Linked DNA regions of Bombyx mori. The main gene of each other region encodes a partner of the protein of the gene in region 4 in a complex. Links are inferred from orthologs where the notes say so. Each region holds a gene or a part of one and is shown on either strand. Other genes may lie near its edges.

Evidence for each region.
Region 1: DNA-directed RNA polymerase III subunit RPC3 (region 4) and DNA-directed RNA polymerase III subunit RPC6 share a complex: the UniProt entries of both Homo sapiens proteins name them as parts of the RNA polymerase III complex. The link is inferred for Bombyx mori from reciprocal best matches to the Homo sapiens genes POLR3C and POLR3F.
Region 2: DNA-directed RNA polymerase III subunit RPC3 (region 4) and DNA-directed RNA polymerase III subunit RPC4 share a complex: the UniProt entries of both Homo sapiens proteins name them as parts of the RNA polymerase III complex. The link is inferred for Bombyx mori from reciprocal best matches to the Homo sapiens genes POLR3C and POLR3D.
Region 3: DNA-directed RNA polymerase III subunit RPC3 (region 4) and calcitonin gene-related peptide-receptor component protein share a complex: the UniProt entries of both Homo sapiens proteins name them as parts of the RNA polymerase III complex. The link is inferred for Bombyx mori from reciprocal best matches to the Homo sapiens genes POLR3C and CRCP.

What each region holds. Positions count from the first base shown.
Region 1 is NC_085131.1:5,844,182-5,851,053, forward strand, and holds the start of DNA-directed RNA polymerase III subunit RPC6, read right to left. Parts: upstream 4,139-6,872; 5' UTR 4,033-4,138; coding exon 3,845-4,032; intron 3,680-3,844; coding exon 3,475-3,679; intron 3,399-3,474; coding exon 3,147-3,398; intron 2,742-3,146; coding exon 2,505-2,741; 3' UTR 2,006-2,504; coding exon of another isoform or gene 1,674-2,005; 3' UTR 590-1,673; coding exon of another isoform or gene 447-589; 3' UTR 380-446; coding exon of another isoform or gene 211-379; 3' UTR 124-210; coding exon of another isoform or gene 1-123. Other genes in the region: putative OPA3-like protein CG13603, read left to right, coding at 1-123, 211-379, 447-589, 1,674-2,005. UniProt on the Homo sapiens protein: DNA-dependent RNA polymerase catalyzes the transcription of DNA into RNA using the four ribonucleoside triphosphates as substrates.
Region 2 is NC_085113.1:12,566,801-12,572,788, forward strand, and holds part of DNA-directed RNA polymerase III subunit RPC4, read left to right. Parts: intron 1-156; coding exon 157-269; intron 270-638; coding exon 639-771; intron 772-1,500; coding exon 1,501-1,590; intron 1,591-2,555; coding exon 2,556-2,656; intron 2,657-3,612; coding exon 3,613-3,738; intron 3,739-4,608; coding exon 4,609-4,716; intron 4,717-5,563; coding exon 5,564-5,722; 3' UTR 5,723-5,988. UniProt on the Homo sapiens protein: DNA-dependent RNA polymerase catalyzes the transcription of DNA into RNA using the four ribonucleoside triphosphates as substrates.
Region 3 is NC_085116.1:2,994,842-3,000,536, reverse strand, and holds the end of calcitonin gene-related peptide-receptor component protein, read left to right. Parts: intron 1-3,855; coding exon 3,856-3,957; 3' UTR 3,958-4,270; downstream 4,271-5,695. UniProt on the Homo sapiens protein: DNA-dependent RNA polymerase catalyzes the transcription of DNA into RNA using the four ribonucleoside triphosphates as substrates.
Region 4 is NC_085120.1:9,120,686-9,127,011, forward strand, and holds part of DNA-directed RNA polymerase III subunit RPC3, read right to left. Parts: intron 5,845-6,326; coding exon 5,720-5,844; intron 4,612-5,719; coding exon 4,482-4,611; intron 3,840-4,481; coding exon 3,635-3,839; intron 3,034-3,634; coding exon 2,941-3,033; intron 2,178-2,940; coding exon 2,010-2,177; intron 1,262-2,009; coding exon 1,081-1,261; intron 397-1,080; coding exon 276-396; intron 1-275. UniProt on the Homo sapiens protein: DNA-dependent RNA polymerase catalyzes the transcription of DNA into RNA using the four ribonucleoside triphosphates as substrates.

The DNA.
Region 1 (6,872 bases), on a different chromosome or scaffold from region 4:
CAATAGCTAAATTATCTGTTTTGTTGGTGAAACAGATAAGTAAACCAATCGCGAACGTGTGCAAGGAGAGAGCCAAGAATAATCCATTTTTCAGAACTTATGTTTGTATGCCTCCAGCGCAATGTAAGTAATAATGCTTTTCACGTTTCCATATAAAATCATTTTTATACATAAGCGAAACAAACCTTTCTCATGTACTTTTTTTCACAGTTTACAATTGGTGTGAAGTTAAAGCCAAAATGTGGATTTTAAATTTGGGAAAACCTGTCAATATTCCTGTTTTAAGCCAGGAAATGGCCATTGAACTTGGAGCAAATCTTCTTGGCGAAACGGTTATATTCGTAATTGGTGCTAGCCTTTTAGTGATCGAGTACAATAGGTATGTTTTCACAGTATAAAAGGTAAATTTAAAAGATGTCTCGAAATTGTATTTTGACTATTTTTAGGCAAAGTAAAAAAGAAGCAGCCAAAGAAGCCAAGCGTGAAGAGGAGATGAAACACATCACAAGTACTATCACAGATTTGTATTTTACTGTGCAAAAACAACAGACACAACTCCGAGAAATGGAAAGGCTTATTCATTCTATTGGTATGTTGTTAGTAAATAAAACTAATTCTGTTGCACCTGTAAATTTTTTTGGAACCATTTACATTATATAATATGGTCTTTTTGGTCTTTTCTTAACATTATAAGGTTTGAATGAAGACTTTGAACTTAAAATGATAATAGTGTTATTATGGGTCGGGTTTATACACTGTATAAATATGAGTAAAATTTATTTATTTATGAACAAGTTATATAGTTGGTTGAAAATATTTACCAAACTGCCTTTTTTGCATGTTGCTATGTCTATAAATCTGATGTTCAAATGAACTGTAATTGGAAATGTGGTTATAAAAGCCTAGTCTTCACCCATAGATCAGTTATAGACCAGCTAAAACTATCATTAAGCCACTGTTGTGGAAAAATAATAATTTTGTTTAAATATATCTTAATAGAAGGTTCATTGTTGTTATTTGTTGATTTTTAATGTCTACATAATCAATATGGACATGTGCTTCACAAACAAATTGGACCATTTTTTATTTTCTATTTTCTATAAACACCAGTACATAGAGATGTAAAATCATACAAAACATTTGCAAAATAATTTATACTGCCAATTTTATTATTCTCGATTTAGGAAAAATATAATATAAAGTACTTTATAGATAGAATCTTTCATATATTTGTAACCTGTTCTTTTAATTTATTCAAAGATACTGATTTATGATGGTGTTAGCATACATATTTCTCAGACACTGTAATGCTTCCCAAGGGCAGCAGTAAGAGTTAAATCTTTACTTTTTGCTTATCACTAAGTTAACATAGTTCCAACTAATTCGAACTGTTGGTTTGCAATTTGTTTTGTTGCTTCTGACTGGCGCTAAAACTCAATTTATGAGTATGGTTGGTACTTGAGTCTGTCATGCATATTTATTGCTTGATATCATGTGGTGTACAGGTTCTAATTATTTTATCATCTCAGAAATTGTAATATTATCAATATCACACACTATGGCATGGAAATATTTAAACTGGTGACAAAGCTTGCTGATAAATTTTTTCTTAGTATTGATTCTAAGAACAATGTAAATATATCAATCATCAATTTATTTTCTATTTTTAATAGGTGGAGATCAAGCACCCAAAAACAGCCCATCCTCTGACAAAGATAGTACAAATGGGAGATCACCACCAGATGCCACACTAAATAATCACGTTCCTGAACATATAAATCACAATTCACCAACTCTTAGTCCCACACCTTATCCAAATAAAGGCCTAATATTGCAGTCGTTGAATTATATACAAATGGACGCATTTAGCTCATTTTTCCCCAAAAATAATACTGAATATGAGAAAGAAAGAGATGAAGATAAATTTACAAGAAATAGGAGGGAGCCAGCTGTACTCTCTGGTATTTTGCATAATATCGAGAATAATTTTAGAAGTTTATTTTGAGGATTTTACAGTATAAATTACACATTGTACTTGCATTAAAATGTTGAAATGACCACTAGAATGTTAAATAATTTGTTGCAAAATTGTTGTTGACCATAACTAATTTGCAATAAATTGCTTTAAAACAGGAGCCTTCTGTGTGACAAGTTATAAAGTAGACTTTTCTCAGTTAAAAGTTACGTAATTTTAACTATATAAAATTATCTACAGTTATAAAAGTATTGGTTTTTCAAATGTGCACACAATATTCATATTGTAACTAAGTATTCTATTGTTAAGTAATGTTCTACAAATATCTGTTTTAAAAGCAAAAATTTTGAACTTATAATAGAATTAAAATAGTATGTGTTTTCAACAGAAATATATTATTTAATGCTTTTAAGTATAATGTCTCTAGTCACAATTTAATTTGTAGAGGAAGCTTATATTCTTTTAACTAGATCAATGATACTTATTTAAATAGGTATTAAAAATGTTATTAATTATATTTTTTTTTTAATTATTCCAACCATTCAGTCATATAATTACAAACTTGTGGAGTAATTAGTCCTGAGGAATTACATCTTTGAATCAAGGGGCATATTCCACATGGCACTTGAACAAGGCCTGAAGATGGTATAAGAGTTTCTATAGCTCTATATACATTACTTCCATCGGGAAACACACTTTTTTCTACCTTCCCATCATACACTAGGGTGTTTAAAATTGTTGTTACATCATCAACATCTAATACAACCTGTAAAAGAAAAGTAACACTAACAAAACGTTGATGTAATAATAAACATCATATAAGTAGATATAAATGAAACATTAATTAATTAAATCTACATGGTATTTTAAAATGTTCGCTGACCAAGTTAGTGTATTGTGGTAGGACCTCTTATGAGTCCACGCGGGTGGGTACCACCACCCTGCCTGTTTCTGCCGTGAAGCAGTAATGCGTTTCGGTTTGAAGGGTGGGGCAGCCGTCGTTACTATACTTGAGACCTTAGAACTTGTATCTCTAGGTGGGTGGCGCATTTACGTTGTGGATATCTATGGGCTCCAGTAACCACTTAACACCAGGTGGGCTGTGAGCTCGTCTATCCATCTAAGCAATAAAAAAAAAAAAAAAAGTTAGTGTATGTTTGTAAAATCTTACTTTACTAATTCCCAGATCAGTAATATATTTTTGGACTTCAGTAGCAGTAGCATAAGCTTGTGTTCGTCCAAAAACAGGTCCCCTAGGATTGTTTCTCATATTATCAGCTCTTTGACTCAAGAACCTGTGGCATTGTACATTGAGGACATCTACAAACTCGGATTCAAAGTCTTGGTCTTGGTACCAAGCTCCCCCTGTCAATGATCTATCTGGTTCCAAGTTGTAAAGCATATAAACCTTCTTTTTAGAGGCCTGTGAATTAACCAGGTTTAAATTGTAAGTTAAGTATCAGATAGATCTTCGTTGATTTAAAATTAAATTTACTTACATTAACACATTTCACAGCTTTTATCACTTTTTTACTTTCCAAATTTTTGAGGACTTTAGTCAGTTGAGTGTTTGCAAGATTCGAACGGATCCTAATATCTCTAATCCAAATTCCTTTATTTCCTGCTTCTTCAATCAGATTATAGACTACCTTTTCTTCATTATCTGCTCCTTTGATTGCGTGCTTATTTGTTTGAGTTTTCAACCTAAAATGAATAAAATTTAATAATATTATTATTATTAATATTATTTCAAGTTCTTTGAAAATTCTTCTCTAAATCTTCCAATTCTTCTCTAAAAATTCTATAAATAGACTATATTTATTAGTTACGCTAATATCTTTAGACACCTTCATTATTTTGCTAACGTACTTATAAATTAAAGATCCGTTTTGATTAAATAAATCAAAACGTTCTTGTTTCAGCAGATCATTTAAAGCAGTTACTAGTTCTACTGATGATATGCCAGGTATTTCAGCAATTATATCCTTGTCTGTAATTCCTTTCGAGCTTTTTCTTGCAAGATTTAGTATTTTCTCTTTTGTATCTTCGGAACTCATTTTTGGAAAATATTAAGCGTTTGTGTATTAGATTTATTAGAATATGCTTTGGGGCTTGGGCTAAACCATGGAGTTAATAAGTACCTTAGTTAGAATAGTAACTCTATGGGCTAAACAAATATATATATTTTTTAAGGGATTTTATGACCTGGTAACTAAGACCTTTAAGTCATGTCTTATTTTAATTTATATTCATATTTTTATGAAAAATGATATTATGGAGTGAAATGAAATAAAGATGATTAATTTGAGACATTAATCAACTGGGATGAAATTAAATGAAATGAGATGAGATGATATGGGATGAAATATAATCTCAGTAAAATGGAGGTCATTTACTGAGACTTTTTCAGTGGACTTTTTGGAGGATCCCGAGAAGTTACGTTCAGCGGCTTTGTTTCATTTTCCCACATTTGTGCAATTTCACAGATACTAAGCAGTTAATAAGCCTGAAGAAACACTAAATAAACAAAATAAAACAATACACACAACTTCACTCCTCGCGTTCCCGCCAAAAAATTAATTTCAATCAGCCACCTTGGCTGAAGTTTTTACTCCTTTTTCACAAAAATGTAGTTTTGTGACTCTTTGATAAGACACGCCTCACCAAATCATTACTGACGCAGGATTATGACTACGTTGTTCCTTTGATCACTTGAGCAGAACACTTCTTTATAGCACTTCTTCAGAACGGTGTGCATACCCTAAATTATACTATCACTTTGCTTATTGTAGTGTTCTTCAATCGTGAAAATTGTTTTATTGGTAAAGAGGATATTTCTGTGCCATTCACCTGCACACAAGACGTTTGGATCGATCCACTCTCTTTAATTGTAAAGATCGATTTAGGTCATGTTATGTACATCGAGGATAAGCACTGAACTTCAGGTCTTGTTTTATAATCTGCGACAGTCCTAGCGGGAATCATCATTTTTCGCTGTTGCGACGAATTCTGGCTTTAACAGCATTAGTAGCCTTTGTAGCTCTAGCACCACGAGGCCGCCCCGACCTTCTCTGGTCTTCGACAGACAAAGTGTTTTTGTATCTGTTCATAGTACAATTTACGAACATACGGCTGATACCAAGCTTTTGAAGTGTCTGGAATATGACCGACGGCTCCATATCCACTTTGTGTAAGGCGATTACTGCAAACCTATTTTCTTTAACACCCTATTCCATATTGTAATTTGATAATGAACACGAAAAAATATGTGAAATGGCGCAAAATCGAAAGAAGTTGAGGGAGTTCATATAGAGTCTTTCTTTCGCCGTAAAGTCGTGTTTTATGTAATTAACACCACAGTTGAAACAATATAAATTTTATTGATGTAGCGGCATAAACAATTCTAGCTAATTATATTATATTAGTTATTTTACACATTATAAATTGTTTTTACGTTTTAAATATTTGGCGGTAAAAAAAAGGTCCCGTGTCACAGACTATATTCTGTTTCCCACCTCTCGTGCGTTCCGGCTTACGCATCATAAAAAGGTGCGTACTTAAACGCCACAAAGTTTTTAAAATAATATACGTGTTCCAAATTCAAAATCATTATATAGTTGAAAAAAAGAAGTTTTTTTTGTAACAGTATTTATGGCTCGATTGGTTATATAACGTTAGGAAAAAAATATATTGTTGGAGTTTGTATATTAAATGTAATGGCAGGCAACACTTGACACTTGATTAGATTTCGAATATTGGAATTAATTTAAATGTTTAAAAAAACAGATCATTGTATTCTCGTAAGAAAATGTCAGAACTTCTCATCTAGACACGGCAAGACAAACATGTAATAGTTTTAATAAGTAAAAAAATATAAAGATAATAATTGTATAATGGTTTAAAAGTGTTCAAGCAATCTGCAATATAATTATAATGAAGCAGTTGTGTTTTTAAATAGTCCCTCATCACCTACAGAACCCAACCCCTTAAAATGTAACCATCCAACAGGTTATGGGCCCAGCACGCTTCCACTGCGTTACTCTGCTTTCTCGACTCTAACCCTTAACTCCTTCTCGACTCTAACCCTTTGTATCCAGCAATAATTTAATTAGCTTTCTCCAAGCTTTATAATTATCCTTATTTGTGAAAGGTTTTATTTTTATTTTAAAGGTAAAAGAGTCGAGTAGGAGTTAAAGGTAAAAGAGTCGAGTAGGAGTTAAAGGAAGGTTATAGAGGTCGAGAAGGAGTTTAAGGTTATAGAGGTCGAGAAGGAGTTTAAGGTTATTAAAGAGGTTTGGAAGGCGTTTAAGGTTATTAAAGAAAAGCGCGGGAAACTTCGTTTATGGTAGACGTATTTTTCACGGTGGTGAAAATTTAATTTAATTTTATAGTTAAAACGCGGAGGATAAGCTGGTAGTGTAAGTTTTTGTAATATATGTAATCTTTGTATCATATTTGTGTATAGTGTCATCGTATAGTTGGTAAGTTTTTGTAATTTTTGTAAATATTGTATGAACGAGCCCCCCGATCTCGATCGGGGGGATGATGGCTATGTTGGCCTGAATCTCCCCGTGGGATCATATGTAACTGTTGTTTCACAAGATGAATTTGATAAAATGGATACGGATTGTTCGTTATCATCTCAGACAGGTGAAGGAAGTCGTAAACGAACACGTTATCTACGCCTTTGTCGGCAGTGTACGAAAAGGAGAAATAAGAAAGGTGGTTCTAGCGGTGATTACTGTCAGTGCGAAAGTTTATGCAATATGGAAGATGAGTCAATTTTAATAAAAAAGATTACTTCTAAAAGTTCTAAACCTATATCTCAATCGACGTCATCTTCACACTCGCAAAATAATATTAACTCACATAAAACGTCCTCTCAACCATCAACATC
Region 2 (5,988 bases), on a different chromosome or scaffold from region 4:
TTTAATGATAACATTACATTCAGAACTTCACAATTCAGACAGGAGTAAGCGTTTAAAAATAGCTGAGCTTTATTCAGTTTGATTACTCCTAAAAATTAAATGAATACTGAAAATTAAGCCAGTCAATAATTAAAAACTCAAAGTAATTGATTACAGGCATCGGTTCATCAGAGAGGCATTCTTCAAGTCGCTCGTACTACGGGCGGGACACAGAAAAAACTACAAACATTATGAAGAAGCCAGCTATCAGAGTAAAGGATTTCGTGAAGGTATTTACATTTAAATTACATTCATCGGTTAATTTTGTTGTAATTAAAATCGTGTAATAAAAATAAAAACCGCAAAATTGTAATTTGCGTAATTACTGGTGGTAGGACCTCTTGTGAGTACGCACGGGTAGGTACCACCACCCCGCCTATTCCTGCCGTGAAGCAGTAATGCATTTCCGTTAGAAAGGTGGGGTAGCCATTGTAACTATATTGAGACCTTAGAACTTATATCTCAAGGTGAGTGGCGCATTTGCGTTGTAGATGTCTATGGGCTCTAGTAACCACTTAATAGCAGGTGGGCTGTGTGCTCTTCCACACATTAAAGCAATAAAAAAAAGTGACCTAAATCCACTATCTATATCTTTCTAGATCGACAAAGAACTGGAGGAGAAGAAGATAAATATGATTTTAAGAGGAGGCGATACTGACGAGCTGGAGTCCATCGACTTTAAGGACATCCTCGACAGGGACGCACCCATCAAACTACCCATGGATGATGGGAGTGAGTTTCTAATCAACTTTCCTGTGTTCATCCAGTATTTTCTATGTAGCGTCGGCTTAGAGAAGCTCATCATCTCCACTCGTGGTTGTGGTGAGGTTGTAAGTGACGAACTGGAGTTAGCTGATAGCGTCCTGCCTACCTCGGTCGTGAAGCACAGGGGTTACACTGTACATTGAGGCTTTCATTTCAATTCTCGAGATTGGTACCGGTATCCGCACTCTGATCTATACCGTCCATAACGACTTCACAGATTAACAAATTCCTGAACATTGGAATGGTATTTTTATAGGATTTAGGATCTATCCAGCTACGGTCCCTTTAAATCAGCGGTCGGGGAATCGAGGTAAATTACCCGAAATGGGGTAATATGAAATTTTGTGGGGTAAAAATGAAACTTTTGTGAGTAAAAATTATATATATATATATTGAAGTGAAACTTCTTTAGAATCGTTGTGATTTCAAATTATCATGGGGTCTATAATATGAAAGATGCTAAAAGGAAGCGATTTCGTTTTTTTTTGTTCTTCGCCATGGGGTAATATCAACTTACACAAAAATATTTTGGGGTAGTAATTAAAAAAGTTCCCCGACCGCTGCTTTAAATTAATGGTTCCTCCTCCCTGAGTCGCATTCCTCATGTCTGAGGGTCGTGACCATCTCCTCCCATCATCCCTCTTTGGATGATGTTTCCGCATCTTCAATATTTACATAAATACATGTCTTTGACAGACTGGGCCAAGACTCATGCGAAACCGAAAGTCAAGGTTAAAGAAGAGATTGTTGTCAAGACAGAACCCCGGGAAGATGGCGACTGTGTTAGTAAGTAGTCTCAATATTAGAGTACCTTTTTTTATGAATGTGTGATTATTGGTGGTCAGGAGGCCTTTTTAGTTTTACCAGGACAATTCGGCGAGCAAAGGCTCAGTCAGGAGGGGTGGGATTTGCTAACAGCTGCCCGAGCACCTCCAAATGAGACCTAACAGCTCAAAAGCAACTGCTTCGTGAATGAATCTACTACCGGATCGGAATAGCGATCCGCTGAGAAGATCCGGCGAGAAACTCAACGCGCTGATGTATGAGTTAGGTTGCACGTTGAACTCTTTGTCGAGTTCGACGAGTACGGGTCCCTAAGCTTGCTCCTAGTGTTACAGCTGAAGGCGTCTAATGCAAGGGTTATTGAATCTGATGGATCCCTAAGGGCGTGCTTAGGGCAGCTTTTGGTTAGAGTCTCATACCCGATCCTGTGGACCGAATGGTAAACAGTCGACGTCGCCCTAAACACGTCATTACGGATCCTCCCGGTCCATTAACGGTTCTTTTAGGTCACCGCCCTCGTCGAACCCGTCGCTTGCGACGAAGAGCTCGACGAGTAAATTAACCCTCAGACACACAGCCCACTGAGTTTCACACCAGATCTTCTCAGTGGGTCGCGTTTTCGATTCGGTGGTAGATTTTGCGAAGCACTGCTATTGCTAGGGCCAGTGCTAGCATCACTCCCAGTTAGAGCCCCGTGAGCTCACCTACTCGCTCGGTTACGCTGACAGACTCTCAAGGCTATCAGCTTAGGTAGGAAATAAAAGTTAGAGTCTAGTCTAGTATTAGCGGGCTGTGTCTATGGATGCTATTTCCACTTTTTTTTTATTGGCAACACCAAAACACGGCTTTAGTTACTAATTAATAAAAAATAAAATCGGTATAGAGAATGCTATTTATCTTTTTTAGTTTTTCCTATATACTTAAGTATATAGATTATGTTAAATGAATAGCGTTTTTATTATTTCCAGTAAGCACACCAGAACGAAAGCCAGACGTGAAGGAAGCGTTTGAAGATACCGACTTAGTGAACTTACTTAATAACGACAAATCAACATTAATTATGTTGCAGGTAACTCCCTCCTAATATATCGTTTCGATCCTGAAGTTGTGTCCTGCCACGGATGGCAACCGTTGATGGCAATGACACGGTTTTTGCCGCCAAGCAACCGCGCGTTGCAATTCGTAGTCATTATTACAATTAAAACTTAAATAGATGAGACCCGGATACTGCTTATTTACAAGAAAAAAAAAATGATGCGCATATTACTAGTGGTAGGACCTCTTGTGAGTTCGCACGGGTAGGTACCACCACCCCGTCTATTTCAGCCGTGAAGCAGTAATGCGTTTCGGTTTGAAGGGTGGGGCAGCCGTTGTAACTATACTGAGACCTTGGAACTTATATCTCAAGGTGGGTGGCCCATTTACGTTGTAGATGTCTATGGGCTCCAGTAACCACTTAACACCAGGTGGGCTGTGAGCTCGTCCACCCATCTAAGCAATAAATAAAAAAAACTTGGTGCACGTGAAAGAAGTGAAACTTCTTTTGCGGTGCGTAGTAATGTGGTTTTCTTTATTTGTCATCAGTAAATCAAATTTCTCTTGTAGGTAATAAGGAATGCTGTGTGTAAGAGAAAGAATTAGCTCGCTTTGTTGCTATCCGCCTCTCCACGGTCGAGTTGTTCGCGAGACGCTCTGTCTATTTTCTCACTCTCACTCTTCTTAAATTGTATTTTTTATCTCTAGCCGTAACGAATCTGTCGCGATTTAAATTTTACTCTCAACGCGCCTAAAGAAGTTTCACTTCAACTAATTCGGGAGCGCTTTAAAGGAACCTAAGGGCCAGTATTTCAGGATACGCTGACGACAAGGATTTCTCTGTACACATAAGGACTTTAAAACACACTACAACGATAATGTTAGCTAATAATATTTTAAACTTGTAAAGAACCGGCGAAACAAATTCAGTCATAATATGCAACTTCAAAGTTTACAGACGTCATTGTACGCTTCATGAAAACGTTTTAGCTTCCCTCGAGTCTCCCGGGCAGAGGCGGCCGCGTCGAGGACGACGTTCCCCGGAGGAGGACCAAGAACGAGCCCGGCCCGTCCGCCGGGGGGGGCGCGGACCCCGGCGCGGCGGACGAGCAGGAGGTGCGTGTGTTTCAACTTTATAATCAACAACCAGGGCCGGATTTAAACTTAATGCCGCTCCTGGGCAGCGGAAAAAATCCGCCCCAATACTGGAATTTTACCTAAACTTATAATTTATATGGTGGTACCCACCATCCTGTCCGGTTCTGCCACGAATCGGCCGGGCCATTCCGATTTGAAGGTTCGGGACAGTCGACGACATGAGTGGATGAAGGGGATATGATACATTTTGTTAATTTTGAGAAAACGGGCAACAAACTTTTGTTACGTGTACTTTTTCTTCGTACACAACTCCTTCATCAAATGCAATTTCTAAAGATAGTCTTTAAACCCGGAGTTTGAATTAAGGTGTTATGTGCCTATTATTAGAACTTCAAACTCCGGGCTTAAAGGCTATATAAAAACTAAATCTTAAAAATGATACTTAACCCCTTCATCCACTCATGTTTCAGTCGTTATACGATATAGTTGAGACTCCGACCGGTGTCGGCATTCGCGTATTGATGTCTATGAGCTCTGATATCCACTTCTCACCGTGAGATAGATCATTGTCGATAAAAAACAAAAATCTCATATAGTAATTTTTTGGGTGGCTGGTGCATATCCGTGTGCTTAGTGCGAGTTTCTTAACATTCTCGATAGCGTAAAAGTTAACCAATTTTGTATGCAGTTGGAACAGCGCCCCTAGCGGCAAACGTACGCAAACGATCCCATTCCATACAAATATGAGCTAACTTTTACACTACCGAGAAAGTAAAAAAACTCGCACTAAGAACACAGATTTAAGTTTACTTTTACGCGATCGAGAACGTTAAAAAACTCACACTAAGCACACTGATGTAGAGTAAAACCGATGTGTTGCTCTCCCAGGAGGACAACAAGTGTCGCCTGACGGACCTCGAGGAGGGTAGGATCGGCAAGCTGCAGCTCCACAGGTCGGGGAGGGTCACCCTGGCTTTAGGAGAAACTGTATTTGAGGTAACCCTTTCTTTTGTATCATTTTTAATACGCTTCATAAGTTATTATGTAATGAAGTCTTTGAACATGATTTTGACCCCTCCAAAATACGGATTAACTCGAAATTTGGCGTACTTATCCAGGACCGATGACAATTCAATATTTTAAACAATTTGACCCGTTATTTACTTTCGCCAGTCAAAACAACAAATACATTTGAGCGCCTTCTTTTTTTTACTTAGCAAATTGGAAATTATTGAATTGGATAGGATAAGGATAATCCTTCTGCTCATATCGTATCACACTCACTCATATCTGTCAATAAAATATTTATAACTAAGTATTGACATCATGCACCCCACACCTTGATTACTATAAATTTATTTTCTATGTTTTTAGTTGGATTTACTATAAAAGCGGGTTTTTAAGTTTTTTTTTAAAACATATTTCAATGGTACTCTGGTTTTTGAATAGTGGTGACTCGCATTGAGTCCGCAAGGGTAGGTACTGCTTTCGTGCTTACTTTACTTAAACTAAAGCGACATGCGTTACGTCGAACGGGCTTCAACCTCAACGTCTCAAGGTAATCGTGAGGTCAATGGGATCCGGTAACTACTAAACACCAGGTGGCGCGTTTTAGAGCAATAAAAACCACTAGATCGGACTCGCCAATTATTATTTGTAACTGTATTTATTGGTGTCGTTAAAATAATTTAAGATTGTGATTTTTTTATTATATATTCGAACTATGATAAAAATGTGTATAGGACACGTATTAAGTATCCAAGCAATACTCGAACTAATAATTATCATAATAATAATATCTCCTAGTATTTTGTGTAATAGCTATTGTATTTTCGTGTAATAGGTATCGATGGGCACAAAAGCTGCGTTCCACCAAGAACTGGTTTCTGTAAGTACTGATGACGCGTCACGCTCAGCCAAGGTGACCTCCTTAGGCGCTCTCCGACATAAACTAAACGTGATCCCGGATTGGGAAACAATGTTTCGGGATATTCCTCTATAGAAATAATAAAACCATTCAGTTTTCATTGCCAAGTAATTTAAAAAAAAAAAACTGATCTTAAAAAGACTAATTAATATTGTCTAAACACTGAATTGTTATTCCTAAACTTCCTATCTACCTTAGCATTAACTACTGTTGTTGTTGTATGAACTAATTTATTATATTATCAATTGCAAAAGCAATAAAATAATACTTTAAAGATGTGTTTGTAACGGAAGAAACCATTAATCGACTTTAGATTACATACATACCTAGGCATTTTGACG
Region 3 (5,695 bases), on a different chromosome or scaffold from region 4:
TAGGATGAATTTGTGGGTGCTATTACTATGGGGCATCACATACTTTGTGAGTGTCCCCTATCTTTAAATTATATAGCAGGAATAATGTGATCAGTGTTTGGATGAGGAGTAGAGGACCAGAGAATGACATAAAATATTCCAATGGTTGAAACGCCATTGCAATTCATTTCCATGCCCTTAATTGAAGATAAATAAGATCTACTATTGATAGTAGAATTGTGAAGTAGTAATAATATGAGAAAACTGCACATTACATATTGCATGATACTAACTCATCCTCAAACTGATAGATGGTTTCTACTACAGTGCCAATTGTCATTGCTCGATATTGCCACAATTTGACAATAGATCACTCTTTCAGCTACAATCTAGTTTTCAGTACAGTAGCAACTTTATCAGTAACTCCTGTAGGACACAACAAACATCTTTACTTTACAATGAGTGAGAACATTTTAAGTGCTGTGCATGCGCTTATTTGTTTCATGACCAAAGACTTCCATAAAATTCCACATTGGAATCCTCAAGTGTTCCGAGACTGTCTCCCTTTAATTTCATGTGAGGACTTTAAATCGATTTGTACTACCCATTAGATCACATTGCAGAATGCTTCGCACAAACGCTACAATGGTAGTAGTCACCTGTGGACATCAAATGCAACCGTCTATCTTGTTAAATGCTGTTATCACACATTAAGAGTAACTGAAGATGCTGAAATAGCAAACGAACCTCAAAAATTACATGAATAAAATATGAGGACTGAATTAAACTAATAAAATTATTCCAAATTTAATGATATTTGAACAGTGGAATGCTACTGGTATTTGTCTTGAAGGGTGGGGCAGCCGTTGTAACTGTTACGCGCTGGGGTTCGAGATAAATAAAATTCCAGCAAAGTACAACTTAAAACTGTATTCAACACTTAAAACACTCAACAAACACTTTAAAACTCTCAATTCGCTTCTTCCGCTTCGCTTCAGGTGATCCGTTCGCTGTTTCGCTTCGAGTAGTTCCTACAACGCTTTTATAGCCGATACCACATCTCTAGAATTATCGAGAATATTCCACACATCTCTAGTATTGTGCTTCCGGTATCTGACAATAGATGGCGTTGTATTTCTCGAGCGTTCTAGATGCTACTATGTCCTTCGATATTCGTTTGACTATTCGCGATAGATGACGTTACTCTTACCGGCGTAACATAACTATACTGAGACCTTAGAACTTATCTCAAGGTGGGTTTTTTTTTTTTTTTTTTCCACAGGAGAAAATCGCCGGATCCCCACCCGCACAGCAGGTGGGGTATGTGGGAGTCGAACCTCACTAAAAACTCCTGCCGCTCACAGCCGGCGCCCTACCCCGGACCGGGTGGGAACCCAGTCGGAGCTATTGAGACGGCGGGACAGGGTTTACGCAGTGCACATTACATCCATCCCGCCGTCCCCCAGACGCCGGACCGGCGGCCGCCAGCAACACGACCGCCGGTTCCCTCGGTCGACGGGCCAAGAGCCCGATTGATAGCGCCGCGCTACACCTTCCCCCGGAGCGGTCGGGGGAACGCGACCTACCACGCCGCCCCACGCCTAGGTTGCTCCCCGCACAAAGCGGGTGGAGCTCGAAGCCCTTAGGGGGCCGGGTCACGGACGGGACCCCGGTCCCGACCCCCTGCTCGGCGGCGGCGGGTTTCTGCGTAGTGAGGAGAGCTTTGCCTCACTCGCCCCGCCGCCTCCTTCTGCGAGATGGTGCACTCGCAGAAGTCGAGCATAGCCTTCCAAGACTCGTCGCCGCCAAGCATCGACGCCACGACGCCAGGCAGCGACAAGTCTGGTCCTATCTTTGCGACAAGGACACGGCGCTGCACCTCCCATGCGGGGCAGACAGCGAGCGTATGCTCCGCCGTGTCCAGGTCGTGTCCACAATGGTGGCACCTCGTCGTCGGCTCAGCTCCTATCCGGTGCAGGTACTTTCCGAAGCATCCGTGCCCAGTCAGCACCTGCACCAGACGGAAGGTGAGGCGTCCTCGGCCACGATTCACCCAGTCATAAAAGACTGGGTAAACCGCCTCGACGGTCCGTAGACCCCACGTGGGGTTGGCCAACCGCCTCGACCACGATTCGAGCACGGACCGCCGAGAATGGGCCTTCCGCGCCCGCAGCTCACTTTTGGAGGGACGCGCCACGCCCAGAGCACGAAGCTCACTGCGCCACCGATAGTCGGCAGCGAGCGACTCCGCCTCCAGTTCCCATGGCGGCGTCCCCGCCAACACACACGCCGCCTCGAATGAGACGGTGCGATATCCACGGATGACCCTGATAGCAACGGTGCGCTGCGGCCGACGCAGGAACCGAGCCATAGTAGCCCGATTGCGCGGCTCAGCCCATACAGGCGCACCGTACAGGGCCATCGATCGCACCACCCCAGCGTAGAGGCGGCGTACAACCTGATCCGGCCCCCCGATATTTGGGAGCAGTCGGTTCAAAGAACCGGCCGTCCTCATTAACCGGGGGACCAGCTCCGCAAAGTGAGCACGAAAAGCCCACCGGCCGTCCAACACGAGGCCGAGGTACCTTAACTGCACCCCGACCCCTATCCGGACGCCCCCAACCACGATGTGGGCGTCGACAGGTGGCGCTCTCCGCGGCCCGTGAAACCACAAGGCCTCGGATTTACTGAGCGCCACGTCGAGGCCCAGTCTCTTTATCCTCCCGACGACGAGGGCCACTCCCGCTGTGGCGAGACGGGCAGACTCTCTATAATCATCCCCCCGGGCCACGACCAAAGTGTCGTCCGCGTAACAAATAACACGGAGGCCCGGGAGGAGGGCACCCCTCAGCACCCAGTCGTACCCGATGTTCCACAAGAGGGGTCCGAGAACCGACCCCTGTGGAACACCACGCACGACCGGAAAACGGTGAAGGGTCCCACCGTACCCGGTACATTCGACCGACCTGGCCTCCAAATAGGAGCCAACCAGCCGGCGGAGGTAGAGGGGCACTCCATGCCTCTCCAGTGCCCCCCCTATCACAGACCAGGGCAGGGTGTTAAATGCGTTGGCGATGTCAAGAGACACCGCCAGCGCCACCCCACCCCGTGAGACAGCCTCGTCCGAGAGGGCCCGCACGCGAAGTATCGCATCCACGGTCGAACGGCCCTCCCGGAAGCCGAACTGCTCCGCCGACAGGTCAGGTCCAACCCCGACCAGGTGCTGAACGATGCGGGCAGCCAGAATACGCTCCAGCAATTTTCCCGCCTCGTCCAGCAGTACGATAGGACGATACCCGGCGGCTGTATCCACCGGGCGCCCCTCCTTTCTTAACAACACAAGTCTGCCCGTCCGCCAGAGCAACGGAAACCGTCCCGACTCCAGGCAACCATTAAATAGCTCCAGGAGCCGGTCCCCCAGGGCATCGAGGGCCAAGGCCAGCACCCGGCCATGGACTCCGTCCGGGCCGGGGGCCGTGTCCTTTGCAGTCATCCTGACAACGGCCACACGGAGCTCTGCCCCAGTGATACGGGGCACCTCAGCAGGGGCTTCGCCGTCGATGGCGTCCGACGGCTCACCCATAGCAGGGGGAACAAAACCCTCCCGCTCCTGCGGGAACAACGCCGAAACGATGTCCCGCAGCTGTTGAGGCTGAAGTCGCTCAGTCAAAGGGGGGGCCCACGGGCGCAGTTTGCCGCGCACCAGCCTATACGGGCTCCCCCATGGATCCGCTTCGAGCGGTGGGTGGCGCATTTACGTTGTAGATGTCTATGGGCTCCAATAACCACTTAACACCAGGTGGGCTATGAGCTCGTCCACCCAGCTGAGCAATAAAAAAAGGTCTCAAGTCAAGTCAAGTTTTTTACTCTTCACAGATTGTACAAGAGAGTGAGGAGAGATTATCTGAAGAGGACGTACAAGACATAATTAGTATAGTTAGCCAACATCTACTTGCAAATGATAATTCTAATACATAATGCAATCTGTGAAGTCGTTCTTGACGTCGATTGAGGAATAAACCTACGTGAAGTGATATTCCTTTAAATAATGATAAGTATTGCATAAGGATTGCGTATTTCGTCAGAACCCGTAATCTAAAGCATAAGCAACTGGCAGGGGTTTTCTGGAGACCAATAAATACATTGCGTGCACCATGTATCGCAAAAAAGATTTTCTATAAAAAAAAAAAGTTATTTTTTAATTTTATAGCTCGGAATAAATACCATCTGCCTCTATTTTCGTGATCAATTCGATATATAAAATTAACTGCAAAATTAAATTGTTTTAAGTAAAATTTTGTTTTTATTGTTACACATTAATAACAAAATAAACACAAAAATTGTCATCGCCAAAAGAATTAAATGCCCGGTGTATAAAGTGGTACTGGTAATGATGCGGCTTTTTTTTTATTGACCTTGTAGGCAGACGAGCATACGGCCCACCTGATGGTGAGTGGTTACCGTCGCCCATGGACTTCAGCAATGCCAGGGGCAGAGCCAAGCCGCTGCCTACCGCTTAATACTCTCCACAAGCCTCGTTTGAAGAAGGACATGTCATAGCGCTCGGGAAACACCGTGGAGGGGAGCTCATTCCATAGCCGGATGGTACGTGGCAAAAAAGACCTCTGGAAACGCACTGTGGATGACCGCAGTGGCTCCAGGTAGTATGGATGAACTCTACTCCGGTGGCGGGCGATGCGATGGTAAAAACGATATGCCGGTATCATCTCGATCAATTCCTCAGAGCTCAGACCTCAGGCTATGGTCTGTTCAAATTTCGTGGAGTTTTAAAACTCCTGTTCATAGCCTACAAAAAAAAAAGAAACTCGTTTTTTGACCCGAACATATTCTACGATCTTAGTTCCCATAGTGGTCCAGGTAGCAAAAGCAGTGCTTCGCAGAATCGACCACTGGATCCGAAACGCGACCCACTGAGAAGATTTGGCGAGAAATTCAGTAGGCTTAGATGAATTTGATCTTGCTGTATTACGTCAGACTAACGCTTACTCAAGTGTGAAAATTTAATTAACAATAATCTATTGCTTACTTCGATCAATAATAGTACTAGATTAAAGATCAGGAACAAAAATAAGACGCTCCAGTGGCCACGTTTGCAGACACGAAAACATCTTCATTTCTTAGAAAAAAGTTTAATAATGTTAACGACTTCAGTTTATTCTAAACCTTAATACTTAAACATAAAGTTTAATTACCATTGCAAAATATATGTATTTAGGTCCTTTCGTCAGAAAAAGAATATTATGGAATAAATTTAAAATGTCACTTGAACTTAAAAAGACATCAGTACAAAAATATTTATTCTAAAATGATACTTAAAGCCTAATTTATAAGGTTAAAAATATTTGTTTAAAATTTCGTGCTTATTGTATTGTGGAACTAGATGTAGTTCTTGGTATTACATTTCAATGCTCAGAACACAGTAAGTATTGAAAGACATAGAGTTGCAGAATATACATATTTGTTTTAGGTTTGTTTTGTATGGTCGCAACTATTTTTGACCGATTTAAAAAAGTAGTAGATAATATTTTACATTGCCGCTATTACAACAAATAGGTGATAAGAAATAAAATTGAATAAAGTAAAAAAAATATGAAAGGAAACACGAAACATGTTTTCCACGTATTCTTTATACAGAAGTTATTAAACCAATAATGTAGGTTTAATTACCTTTAAACAGATTCAGTTTGTTATAAAG
Region 4 (6,326 bases):
CTTCACAGAATCTACCACCGGATCGGAAACGCGACCCACTGAGATGATCCGGCGAGAAACTCAGTGGACTGTGTCTGTGGGTTAATTACCTGTCGCTTGCAACGGGTTCGGTGAGGTCGAAGGCTCATATGAACGCAGTGCTGTCCATATGAGCCTCCGACCCTGCAGATCTTGGCTCTGAGTCCGACGTGAACTGAAGATCATTTCGAGAGAATCCGCATCAGACGGTAGACCTCAAATTTGAAACCGAAAGAGTCCGGACATACTATACCCACCTGTAAACTAATGAAATGCTCTTCTAAAAGTTTATACGACAGCTCTTTGCATTCCTTATTTGGTAGCATGGCGTTTTTTTGTACGTCATCCTCTTCTATATATTTCTTATCGAGAATTATTCTGAAAAAAAATATACAATAATTATAAAAAAAAAAACATATTTTTTGACTTCATTGTTATAAATGGGCGAACGAGCTCACGTCTGATCTGGCGTTAAGGTCGAGAGCCCATGGACATCACGAATATTAAATTGTACACCGGCTGGCTCAAATTCGAATTAGAATACGGAACTACGGATAGGTGGTGGATGTTTTGTTTGATTATACCCTACAATCAATAATATCGCCTCATTAACTAATCAATCGATGAGACAATGAAAATCTGTTACTGAAACTGCTACTCGCCTACCGATACTACTATTTCGTGATATCTTTGGCACAAATCAAAGTATTTTAATAATAATTACAGACCTTAAATCGTCGATCGATTAATCGGTGTGTGACTTTTCGTGGAAATGTGCCGAGAGAAATGACGTGTGATTTTTTTTTTATTGCTTAGATGGGTGGACAAGCTCATAGCCCAGCTGGTGTAAGGGGTTACCGGAGCCCATAGACATCTACAACGTAAACGCACCACCCACCTTGAGATATAAGTTCTAAGGTCTCAGTATAGTTACAACGACTGCCCCACCCTTCAAACCGAAACGCATTACTGCTTCACGGCAGAAATAGGCGGGGCGGTGGTACCTACCCGCGCGGACCCACAAGAGGTCCTACCACCAGTAAAAAAAAAGCAAAGTTTAACCTGAATATCCTGGCGGCCTTGTAGCCCAGTCTCTCCGTGACCAGCCCCTCCAGCAGCGCCAGCAGGCACCCCCGCGCCGCGCCCGCCCCCCGCACGCTGTACCCCCGCCCCCCCGCGTCCGCCCGCACCGTGCCGCACCCGCTCTCCTCTGTCACACGCAACGCACTCTTTTTTTTCCTGCCTAAGCTAATAAGTTTGAGAGGCTATGTCAGCGTAACGTAAGCGTGTTGCTAACATTAACCCTAGCAAGAGCAGTGCTTCGCAGAATCCACGACCAGATGGTAAACGCGACCCACTGAGAAGATCCAGCGAGAAACTCAGTGGGCTATGTCTATGGGTCAATTTACTCGCCGGGACCTACGTCACAAGCGACGGTTTCGACGAAAACGATGACAGGTGCTTGTGGTGCCTAAAAGCACCGATAATGGATCGGGAGGATCCGAAATGACGCGTCAGATTCACCATAATTCAATATTACTTCAACTCATAATTTATGAATTTTCAATTGTGCATATGTATGTGTATAAATATATATTTCACTGGATTAGTACACCGCACGTAAGGATCTTCTCAGCGGATCGCGATTCCGATCTGGTAGTAGATTCATCCGTGAAGCAGCTGCTCTTGAGTTGTTAGGTCTCCTTTGGAGGTGCTCGGGCAGCTGTTAGCAAATCCTACCCCTTCTGGCTGAGCCTTTGCTCGCCCACCCGTCCTGGTGAAACTGGCAAGGCCTCCAGGCCACCAGTAAATCTTCAATCATAAAAAAAAAATATTCGTTTCCAAATGAATCTTGTCTACCTGATGTTTGTCTGGAAGAGATCGCTCTTAGCGATAACACCTCCAATTGTACTTTTTTATTTAACGTATCGCATTGTTTTTTTTTTGGGTGCACACTAAAGAATACTCACTTACTCATAAAAAAACCTCACCTAAGACCTTCAGATATTGATCGAAATACTGATTCAAGAGGGGCTTGTCAGCAGCGGCCCGGAGACAAGCCTCCCTCAATTCCACGGCCGGCACTAGTGTAGACTCTGCAGCCCACGCCGGAGACGTCAGGTACATGTGTTGCAGCATATGACGAAGAAGCTCACCGGCTGGAGAAGAATACAAAATTCACAACTCATCAGAGGAACTCCAAAGATATCAGTCTGTCCGGCTATTCATATGACAGCAATGCTCGCCGCAAACCTCGTTTGAACAATGACATAAATGTTTGGTTGATGTTGATATATTTTTTTATTGCCCTTGTAGGCAGACAAGCATACGGCCCACCTGATGGTAAGTGGTTACCGTCGCCCATGGACTTCAGCAATGCCATGGGCAGAGCCAAGCCGCTGCCTACCGTTAAATACTCTCCACAAGCCTCCTTTGAAGAGTGACATGACAGTGACATAGTGCTCAGGAAACACCGTGGAGGGGAGCTTATTCCAAAGCCGGATGGTACGTGGCAAAAAAGATCTCTGGAAACGCAGTGGGTCCAGGTAATATGGATGAACTCTACTCCGGTGGCGGGCGGTGCGGTGGTAAAAACGAGATGATGGTATCATCTCAAACAATTCCACAGAGCACTCCCAGCCAGAGATAGCCAGTATTCTCAATTCCTAGGACACTGAAGGCAAATATCAAACCTGTAAAAGTCATAAACTTCTTAATTACAGTAGAGCGTCTTGTGAGCCCGCACAGGTAGGTACCATTCTGCCGCAAAGCAGAGAAAGCAATTGAGTCTTAATCTTCTTCATCCACATATGCAAAAACCAATCTTGGGTAGAACAAAAAAAAATTTCGATGACCTCTAGCATTGCTAACGTATCCCTGTGTCTGCCTCGAAAGACGTTTAAAAAAGAAAACAACATTCACCGTTTTCATCTATTCGTCTTGTGATTGCTTTGATCATAATTTCGTCGCGGATATCCTGATGGAACCTGTCGTAATTAACTTTCCAGTACACATCTGAAACAATAACATAAATATCTCAAATTCTTATTTAATAAATCAATATTGACCAATGGCCTACCAATCTGTCAAATATCTTATATTCAAACATTCATTCATGACTCATGTTGTGGTTTTTATATTGGGGTATCTATGATCATTTAAAATCAGGTAGACCATTAACCAGTCTGCCCAGCATGACCCATCAAAGCTCAACAATGCAGCCTCTCACATCATCTACACATTATAATATTCTTCTTCATTTGATTTGGAATTTGAATATCATTTTCAACAGAGACATCCATAGGTGATGCTCGGACTTATTATTAGGTGGAATGCCAGGCTTTCTTTGACAACAATATCACTAACTTTCGCAACGGTATCTCCAGTTCATATTCTGTTGTTCTACGAGCAGTATTCAATGGAAAATATAATTTGGATCGTGTTAAAATTACTCATTGAGTATCATGTTTAACAGTGACATACATAGGTGATGCTCGGACTTATTATTAGAGGGAATGCCGGGCTGTCTTTGACAACACTATTACTGGGTTTCGCAATGGCAACTCCAGTTCATACTCTGTTGTTCGACAAGCAAGATGATATTGAAATTACTCACTATCACTACTTTCAGCTAGATTTCCAGAATTCATAATTTTAATGACAGCTCGTACATCAATCTCTGGTGTTATAGTTGCGACGGGCACCAGTGTCGGTATCTCGCTGCCTTCCTTCAACTCAGCTACAGATGCCTGCTGTATGTAACCAGCGGTTATCAGACTTATAAAGATATCTTTTAGTTTCACTATAGTCATGTTCTTTTCCTGGTGAAGAAAGCAATATTTATCAGAATAGCTAAAAGAAATGAATACAAATAATTTGCCTAGTAATAAGGAACATTGTATAAATCAAAATATTTTGTGCTTATGGTTTTTTATTATTGCCCTTGTAGGCAGACGAGCATACGGCCCACCTGATGGTGAGTATGGTGAGTATGGTTATGGACGTCAGACAACTACTACCATAAATTTACGCATTATTAGATAACCATAGTAATTATAGTATGTGATATAATATATATTATATTGTAATGTAAAGTAATAAACATTTTGAGTAAAATGGGTTCTTTTTGGAATTCCAGATCTTAAAAGGATAAAAAGAAACCGTTATAGAATCATTTTGTTGTTTTTTTCTGTCTGTCTATCTGACAATGGATATCCGAATTTTTTTTGCATATTCCTGAAACTCAAATTTAAAGCAATGTAATAACAAGGATTTATTATTTATATTGTTAGAGTTATCATGTGCACTGGCCACAACTTAAATTAGGCTTTCTATAAGTTTTTCCTTCTACTATCTTATTTATCATATTAAATGTAAATTGTTCCTGCAAATAAACTGAGAATGCCAGATCTAAATATGCCACTTTAGTGGTGGTGCTTATAAAATGACTATGAACTAAGTACCTTGTCATCTTTATATTTAACAGCAATGGAGACTAATAGCACGGTAGCAGTGGAACATGCCTTTTGTAACAACTCTTCAATCAATATTTCTGCTTCACTACCGTACTTCGTTTTAATTTGTAGTAAATACCTGAAGAAAATTAACACTAATCATACCAACATTTACTGCAGGGGTGGGCAAAAGCCGGCCCGCGGGCCGGATCCGGCCCTTTTGCTAATTTTATCCGGCCCGTTGAAAAATTCCGCACATAAATTTTTTTAAACTCTTTTATGAGATTTTGTTGACATCAGCATTAAAAAAGCATATGCGGTAAAAAAGCATATGCGGTATAGTCCTCCGGCCCGGGAGACATTTTGAAAATTTCATTTTGGCCCGCGCTTTAAAGTATTTGCCCACCCCTGATTTACTGGTAACTATTTATATCATAGCTGGTGGATAACGGTATACGACAAGTATTACTCAAAATAAACGAAACAAAACAGACAGAAAAAGTATAATAACAGTAGATTAATTGGGAAGAAAAAGTCATGAAGTCAAATATGCAAAAGCAATAAGATGATACGTGCATTTTCAATGCAAAAGTTCAAAATGGGCATTTAACCCATTTACGATATGTTAATAACTATCAAATATAAATTCATTCATCTGCAAAAGTGACTGTTACTTCTTCCTCAATTTTTTATATTATTATACCGTTTTTATGGTTGACACAGATTTAAGAATTTTACAATAGATTAATGGCATGAGGCAGTTTGGAATGAGGCAATAGATTAATTTCAGCTTAGCATACAGAGCTATCCCAGTCTCACCAAATACTAACAGTCCAGTATTGGAACTGCTTATTACCGCATTTGAATAATGAGTGACAAACGTAAAATCCATAGTATGCAACAGATGTAATGCTCTGTGAAGCCAAAGTTATCCTACTGTCTCTTCCCAAAGACCAATGCATTTTCTACTGTTGTATACTGAATGTTAAACTACCCTGTAGTTGCTGTATGTAATCAGCCTTAATGTATATTTTAAGAATTAGGATTACCTGTACTATGAGACTGATATATTTGGAACCCTGATGAAGAGCAAACAAACTTGTTTGTCACATTGTTTTTGCACAATGTGGCAATGGAACCCACAACCCTCAGTACAGCAATCAGGACAAAAACTACTTCAGAGTCAATTAAACATATAATATAAATAAATAAAACCATATTTTAGATTTAATTGATGTGAATAATACCTTGGATATCTAATCATCAAAAGCACATTCTCCGGAATTAATCTGTAATCTGCAATTACTTCATTTGGAGTTGGTTCAAACATTGCCAAATCATACTTCAGTAACGTTCGGAGACTTTCTACCACCTGTAATGTACATTAAGCTTTAAATTGATTAAACTTGAATAGTTTTAAATATTTTTTGTTATAAACCCTATAGCAGATACTGCATTTAAATGCGATCCGTTCAGACCATCAACCAATGCCATTGAAATTTACTTCCACTACTGTTCACATATAAGACTAAGTAATAGCATTGAGATAATATTAAAACATATTGGCGGTGAGGCATATTGTCTCACTAACCAGTGAGATATCACATCTTGCCTTATTTCAGTTACGAAGCTGTCATGGATTCCAGTTTAATGGGTAGGATAGTCATAATACAATACAAATCGACTTATTTTCCAAGAAGGAGGTCACATTCTTAGTGCGATGTCTAAGTGTTGAGTTACTCTGTGTTAGGTGGTGTAGTAACTAAAATGGCCAACTACTAGATCCAGGTAGAAAAAATTACATGTTATAGTATGTGTGGCAGTAGCCATCACTGAAAACAAGATATTTGACAG